Linked DNA regions of Caenorhabditis elegans. The protein of the gene in region 2 purifies or fractionates together with the protein of the main gene of each other region. This does not show direct contact. Each region holds a gene or a part of one and is shown on either strand. Other genes may lie near its edges.

Region 1 (3,924 bases), on a different chromosome or scaffold from region 2:
GAGTTTTTTTCTTCCAATTTTCAAATATATTTTCTAAAAATAATTGTTTCAGGGAACGGCATCCATAAGTACCGGAAGCAATATTTTAAAATTTTTAAACGTGTTGCCGCTAATAAAAATGGGTTTACAGCCGAAAATTGATAAAACGAGCTTGCAATCAAATTCAACAATCCCACTTCTAAAATGATTTTTGAAGAGATATTGTTCCAACTTTTATAATCCTTACTTTTGAGACCAAATGTTTCATTCAATTTAGTGATACTGTTTTTTTAAATGAAAAAAGCTCGCCTTTAACTGTATGTGCACCATTAGAAACTGCTGATTTAATTTTTGCAAGTCTTCTGGTGACTGATTTAGCGTAACACTCGTCCACCGGAACTCCATCAAATCTAATTTCGTAGCTTTCTTCGTGAACAGCGGCGTCACACGAAAGAATGCTTTCAATTAGAGTATTGATTGCACAATCCCTTGGATCAACACAGTATTGGGAGAATCTGAAAGAACATGAAATTCAAATAGTTTCGAAGATTTTTATACAAACGTATGTCTGAAGGCCACATATCGATCGATAGTTATTTCAATTTTCTGGTTAATCTTGTTCACGTGCCACTTCATGAGACAACTATTCGTGGCAGTTTTCATCATTTGTTCGCCCGTTAGATGGTGAGGTGTCTGAAATTAAAAGATTAAAAGATTAAAAGTTAAATCTGAAATGTTCACCATTGCAAGAGATGCCTTGAGTTTTCCAAGACGTTCATCAAAAGATTCACGAGCTACTGGCGATGGAGACTTTTCCATTTTTACTTTTCTGGAACAAAAAGATTGAAAATTGCAATTTTTGAAAAGTTTTTTTTACTTAGACTCATCAGAAGCTCCTTCTAAATCTGATGTCTTCACTGCTTGTCGCTTTTTCGCTGCAGATGCCTTCACGTAACTTCCAGTTTTTGTACGATCCTGAATATTAAATTTGAAATATATTTTTAAATAATGAAGATCACTTACTTTGTTAGCAGCAATTCCAGCACCCATTGTTCGAATCTTTTGCATTAAAGTCTGAGAATATTCACATCCGAGAAGTGTTACATTAATGAATAATTGTGAGAGGCATTGAAGTTGGATTCTGGAATTGAAAATTGTTTTAGAAATAGTACAAGTGTGATATTATAAAACTAATGTTTTTTTTTCCAGAACACAATTTAGAAACATTAATTTTTTAAATCTATAAAATTTGAAATCAAAACAAATCAGGCATGGGTGGTAATTCTACAAAATGACGTATTGCGCCATGTTTTTCCAACACTTCTCATTAAAAATTATGTTCAAAATATAGAAATTCACTTGATTTAGTTGAAAATATTATCAATTTTAACTGAAACATTCGAAAAAAGAGCTCAAAAAGGAATGAAAAACTCCAATTTTTTTCGATGATTGGTAGCTTTCAGGTGATTTTTGACAGCTTTTTTGAATATTTCAGCTGCATAAAATGATTTTTTTTTAAAGATAAATCAAGTGATTTTCTTTATTTTGGCACTAATTTTTAATGAAAATATTGGAACTCTAATGAAAATATTTGGAGCACATAGTGCAATAAGTCATTTTTCAGAATTGTCGGCCAGTGCTGAAACAAACTTCGGATAGTCATCATAATGTGCCAGCATGAATGCTTTTCGGAGCTCCCACGCATCGTCGCTCTCCCATAATTTCTTTTCAGCTTCCACGTCTTCTAACTTCCCCATTATTTCTGAAAATAAAGTATTTTTTCAATAGGATTTCCGTAAAAATAGAAACGGTAAGATATTTTAAAGCTGACATTTAAACTTGAAATAGATTATGAAAGAAAGCCGCGTTATGATTGAATGTTTACTCCATGAAAAAAGAAACGAACTAGAATTTGATTAGAAGAAAAAAATAAATTAAAAAGATTTGATTAAAATTCAGACAGAAAACAAAAAAAAACAGACGAGATGATGACAGTGGTGGAGCAGAGAAATCACAAACAAGTGTCAGTAAGATGATGAAGACCCGGAATCGAGCTCAATGAACAAGAGTACAGTGACCGAGAGTGCGATGAGAATCAGAGAGACAATTGTAAAAGTTAATCCGTATTTCAGAGCGAATAGTAGCCATATCATGAAGAAAATTGACTGGTAGCTGGCAAAATACTGCAAAAAAAACCAATTAAAATCGGCGGATAATCCCTTTTAAATTACCCGTAAACGAAGCAAAGGAGGTGATCGTATAATTCTTGCTGAATACGCTGGAACTGTTGCATTCGGATCTAGATTTGGCACCGGTGGATACATTACTTTACGAGCAATTGCACCAATTACTGAAATAACATGAATTACAAAAAAAACAATAATTTCCAACTTACCACTTTGTTGTGAATAATGATCTCCAATTTTCTGAACAAATGAAAGTTCGTTGAGCTTCTGAGCCAAAGAAGTCGTCAATTTAACAGCAATCCCAAGTTCGTAGCTTCTTGTTGGAGCTTTTGGATCATCTTTAATGCAATTGGAGTAGTCAAAACGTCTACAAAAGATAATATAATACGATAATATATAACGAAAGACAATTAAAACTAACTTTTCTCTATTCAAAACTTGTCGTTGTCCGATTGGTGTTAACAGCATATGATTTGATGGTCCATCAACAAAATGATCAGGTATTCCAAGACCAGATTTTGGTGTTTCGTTCAAAAGTGATGTGTATAATCTGAAATAATTTTTCAATCAATAAAAAGTGTTTTAATCAGTATTTTCTTACTTTTCCTTATGAAAAGTTTCATTCCCTGTTCTATTTGCCAATACAGAATCTTCCATTTCCGGCATAAAATGAGTTCCAACATAAGAATCGCTGTCTTTCATTAGTGTTAACAATTCGCTAACAAGTCTTCGACTGGACTGTGTTCTAGCCGAATCACCACTATAGAATAAAGAGTTCCAGAATCCTGAGTGTTCCTGAAAAAATAATTTGCATAGTTCTCTTAGATTGACCGAGATGGGCCCACCCATTTTTCGAAAAAAATAATTGGAAAAACATTCGTTGGAAAACGTGTTTAAATGATGAATTTAAAGATTTTTTAATATCGAATGGTGTTTTTTCTTTCAAATTTGCAAAAAATACGATAATTTTCAGCTTTTTATATAAATTTTTTTTTAGTTTTTGACAATTTTTTTCAAATAAAAAATGAGGCCGGGGTCTCGACCAGGCCGATCTAAAAAAAAATTGGGTCGACCCACGCAACAGGCCTTTTTTGTAAGTGAGTGTTTCATCTTGAAATGCTCAAAACTAACATCTTGTTCTTTCTGAATCGCACTCCGATGCATTCTAACAACCACTTGCATTTGTTTCAACAGTTCAAGAGAATGTGGTTGAATGTCTAGTTGGATATGACGGAGCAGAAGTGTTTGTGGCTCTTTCCATGCAAATTCTATGATAGCTCGCAGTGATCCAAGAAGCTCCTCGCACATTTCAAATGCCGAGAATCGTTTGAGAATCTTGCCAAGTATCACTTCATAGAATTCCACGTTTTTCTCAAAGAACTGACGATATTTGGCCGCTGGAGCGAAATCCGACGGATTTGACATGTTGTGATAACGCCAAGGACGGCAATAAGTAAGCCAGCACACTGAAATTATTTAACATTACGAGAAAAAAGTTTAAAGTAGTAAACCAACTTGTTATATCTCTAAAAACTATGGTTGTAGGCACTTGAGTTACGGAGCTTTTAAAGAAATCGTAAAGCGAAAATCTGAAAGGAGCAGAAGCCATCAAATCCAACTTCCAGTTATCAACTTCCGGATCGCCTGTGCTGAACTGACAGAACACGTGGAATTGTTTCAGGAGATATCTAAATGAATAATTTTTTGAAAATAAAAAAAACTTGATTGAATACCGAATTAAAAGCAATTTGTTTGCATT
Region 2 (3,924 bases):
TCCTTCATCTCTCGAGTCTCAACGTCTCGTACCAGTTTTGGAATCTCATCTAGCAATAGTGGAGTGTTCATTGATCGTCCATGTTTTTCGAATGCACGTCTTCCGGCTGTTCTGACCAACCAACTTGAAGCAATTCCAGCTTCATGATGAGCTGATGTCCAGTCGTCGCCAAGGTTTCTGGAACTTTTTGGGTTTTGTTGTAGAGTCCCAATTTTATGGAACTCACTTTTTTGCCCAATACAAGAAAAGGCCCAAACTTCCAGCAGTGACGTCACCTTGACCACCACAGCGACGTAAGCTTGATTCGGTTGAACACTTCGATACTGAAAAAGTCCGAAGATTATGAAAATGTTTTTTTCCAGTTATCACTCTTTTTTTCTACTTTTCGTAGTTTGAAAATATAATAATATTTTGCAAGTTTTCTAATTTAAAAAAAAACGCCTTTTGAAATCGAGGCGCAAGCGCGCTCCAACACCAAATCAAAACGCTCCACCCCCAAACTTTGGGTCTCGTTAGGTTTTTGCAGCACAACCAGGAATTCAAACATTTTCAATTGTTTTTGTCGATTTTCTCCGTTTTATGCAATTTAACTTTTTTTCTTTCGAAAAAATTAACAAAAAACTAAAACTTCTTGAAAACTTTTGAATTCCTGGTTTCGCCGGTTAATACCTAACGAGACCCAACGTTTAGGGGCGGAGCGTTCTTATGTGTACGTGGAGAGCAGTTTCGTTCCGATTTGATGTCAAAAAAACTCAGTTTTCAGCATTCTCGCAGGAAAAAGATCAACCTTAAAGTAGATTAGGCCTTACCTTCGCCGTTCGGGGTGACCACTAGATCAACTTCTCCCTTCAAATAGATCGTAACATTCATTTTCCGACTCAACTCGGCAGCCAAATGCTGTAGTTGGCTATTATTTCTCACATTGAGCACATCCTCTTCACCAAGAGCCGATTTACACAGACGTGAGAACTCAACAATGTTCGGTGTGAGTACTGTAGCCGACATTTGCCGTGGGAATTTTTCAATATGCTCAGACACAAACCAAAGACCGTCCTGAAAGATGCTTTGTAAAAAATACAAACTATTTCAGTTTACCCCATCGATTACAAATGGAACATCTCTATTTCTGACGAATTCGAAAAGTTCCTGCATAAGTGGCCAAATGTTTGGATTTCGTCCCAATCCAGGACCAATCACAATTGCATCCATTCGGGAAAGTTTGGGAATAATAGAATTTGCCGTCATTCCAGGATGTACAATCAGATCCGGAGAGTATCCTTTAATAACTTGAGCCGCATCTGGATCACAGAAGATGTGAATAAGATCAGCTCCTAGTCGCGATGCTGAAGAAGCGGCAAAGTAGGGTGCACCCGTGTATTCGAGAGATCCTCCAATTACTCCCATTTTACCGCAATCACCCTGAAAACGACTGTATAGGTATAGATGCAGAGAAATACAATTTTTTAAATCAAGGTGCAATCGTACTCTGTGGACAAAGACGTTTGGTCTTGTTAGGTATTGGAAGCAAAACCAGAAATTATAACTTTTTCAATTATTTTCACCGATTTTGCCAAATTTCAAGCAGTTTTTGTAATTTTTATTGTTTTTAAATTATTTTTTTTAGTTTTGAGAAGGTGAGTTTTATTTTATTTTAAGTGTTATTTTTTTGAGTTAGATAATATACATATTTTGATGATTACAGACTATTTGAACTTTTCTATCTACTCTACTTTTCAGTGTTGTTTTCCTAATTTTCGAAAAAGGAAAAAAAAAGTTCTATCCATAAACTTTTTTATTGAGCCACAAAAAAGTTGTTGTTTACTACAGGACTGCAACTTTTTTTTCTCTTTTTTACTATCCCTAATTAAATTCTTCTTTTTTTATTTCTTTAACTAACCTTTCTCAAATGCGGTGTCAATTTTGGCAACAATTTGATAAAATGATCCATAGAAATCTGAAATAAAAATTAATAAAACAATGTACTGGCACCAAAAATTATTTCGAAAAAAAGAAATCAAAAGATGGCAATTCCTCTCTAAAAAAACGAAAAAAGATAGACAAAAATGGCTTCAATTCAGTGAGAGGAAGGGTGCGATAATCCTCGTAATTCATTATATACACGTCTGTTATAGAGAACATATAAAACGAGATAACACAGACTAGATGGAAATATAAACAAGTGTTCGCAATCAACTTGGAGAGACTGAAAAGATGATACAACAATGTGGGTAAATGAGTGTGAGTGGAGGGGTGAGAAAAAGTAAGAAAAAAAATGATTGAAGGAATTCAAATTTCCGGGCGTCAATAGCACAGGGTTGGAAGGTTTGATTGAAAAACAGGAAAAAAACCGGGACGAGTATTTACAGGAAATTATTTCGCAGAAGAAGAAGGGGAAGACGTCGGCTTGGCAAAGTACTGAAAGACGGCCTGCAAAATGTAGGTAGAGCACAAGGAGAGGAGATGCATTAAAGTGAAGAAAGAAAAGAGAAAAGAAAAGAGAAATAAAAGCTTACTTGGAAATAGTTGTTAGACCCAACGTCAGGAGGGGACGATGGTGGTGTTGATTCGAATGAAGTTGAGCCTTCATCAATTGATGACTCTCTACAAAAACATAGATTTATACAAGATGTTTTTGAACTGGAGAAATTGAATTTTTAATATCTAAAAGTTAACGTGATTTTTTTTTCATTCACCAAAAATGGTGAATACTTTGAAAAATTATAAGTCTATTGAATTCCATTTTCATACCTTCAAAACTCAAAAAATTAGGGGTAACTCTCATTGAATGCGATCTAGCTACATCTTAAGAGCTAACAGAAAAGTAACTGATCAATTTTTGTTTTATTATATTCAAAATGACCCAGAAGACCGAATTTCGAAACGGACGTTTTCAAAAATTTGTCCAAAATTTTTTATGGCGGTTCAAAATTTACAGAAAAGGAAACCGAATTTTTAACTAACATTTCCAATTTTTCAAACATCGACATATCAAAGCGGCCGGAAACAGATTTTTATTTGATTATCACTTTATTTATTTTCTTTTTTTTGGCCATTTTTTCTGTACCTAAATTAACTAAATTACTATAGATAACTGACAAAAATGTCATAATGGGACAATAATTACATAAAATTAAACTACAGGCCGTTATGGCGCGTAAAAGTTGGCAAATTGGGGAAATTTTAGTTAAAAAATTAATTATTTTTGTCGACATTTTGTCGAAATCGAAATTTCGAAATTTTGAACCGCCAGAAGAAGGTTTTGAACTCATTTTTGAAATGTTTCGTTCTGAAATTCGCAAAACAATTTTGATCGGCCACTTCTCATTTAAACGTATACCTAAACATGTGAAAGGCTTGTAATATGGAGAGCAGTGTTAAAAAGTAAGAGGAAGTCTAGAAAATCAGTGTCTTCTGCCAGAAGATTTCCTTTTCTTTTCTCGTTTCTCTTGTCTTTCATTCTCGCAACAAATCCGACAAACGTCGTTGTCGCCTCCTTCGTTTCCGTTCTCTCTGCGTTTCTTTTTGAAGATTCTCTCCATTTTTTTAGTTCTAAAAAATCAGGGATCACTCTCTCTCTTGCTCTCTCATACTACATCTAAACTTTAATCTATGCAAGTAGGAGACTAGTATGACATAAAAATACAGAACTAATTTGGGAAAAGCAGTGTCTGATGAGAAAAAGGAGACATACAAAATGGAATCCTGCTCCGGTTTAGGGAATTGTTCTTTGTTCGGTGATGATTCCGCCTGGCAAAAAAACTAATAAAATTTAATTGAAAATTATGAAACGTTTAATCAAAAGCCGATTATATTAGAGCAACGAAAGGATTATTTTGATAACCCCAATAAAATACTCACACTTACAACCTGCGTCTCTTGAATCTCTTCTGATCTTGTAAGTGTCTGCTCCGATTCGGCTTTGAT

The links.
Region 1: the proteins of R107.2 (region 2) and paxt-1 fractionate together in Caenorhabditis elegans (co-fractionation; one large-scale study listed by BioGRID). This does not show direct contact.

Annotation. Positions count from the first base shown.
Region 1 is NC_003279.8:8,594,150-8,598,073, reverse strand, and holds the start of paxt-1 (Partner of xrn-2 protein 1), read right to left. Parts: upstream 1,742-3,924; 5' UTR 1,737-1,741; coding exon 1,630-1,736; intron 1,121-1,629; coding exon 1,003-1,120; intron 955-1,002; coding exon 857-954; intron 809-856; coding exon 721-808; intron 673-720; coding exon 542-672; intron 495-541; coding exon 289-494; intron 1-288. Other genes in the region: R05D11.9 (Sphingomyelin phosphodiesterase 4), read right to left, coding at 2,004-2,162, 2,211-2,329, 2,375-2,532, 2,587-2,715, 2,767-2,960, 3,297-3,631, 3,681-3,853, 3,899-3,924. UniProt on the Caenorhabditis elegans protein: Plays a role in maintenance of steady-state concentration and turnover of microRNAs (miRNA) by degradation of mature miRNA in complex with the exoribonuclease xrn-2.
Region 2 is NC_003281.10:9,043,985-9,047,908, forward strand, and holds the start of R107.2 (ATP-dependent (S)-NAD(P)H-hydrate dehydratase), read right to left. Parts: upstream 1,955-3,924; 5' UTR 1,949-1,954; coding exon 1,898-1,948; intron 1,420-1,897; coding exon 1,096-1,419; intron 1,054-1,095; coding exon 810-1,053; intron 324-809; coding exon 227-323; intron 178-226; coding exon 1-177. Other genes in the region: ikke-1 (Inhibitor of nuclear factor kappa-B kinase epsilon subunit homolog 1), read right to left, coding at 2,371-2,427, 2,514-2,601, 3,692-3,759, 3,859-3,924. UniProt on the Caenorhabditis elegans protein: Catalyzes the dehydration of the S-form of NAD(P)HX at the expense of ATP, which is converted to ADP.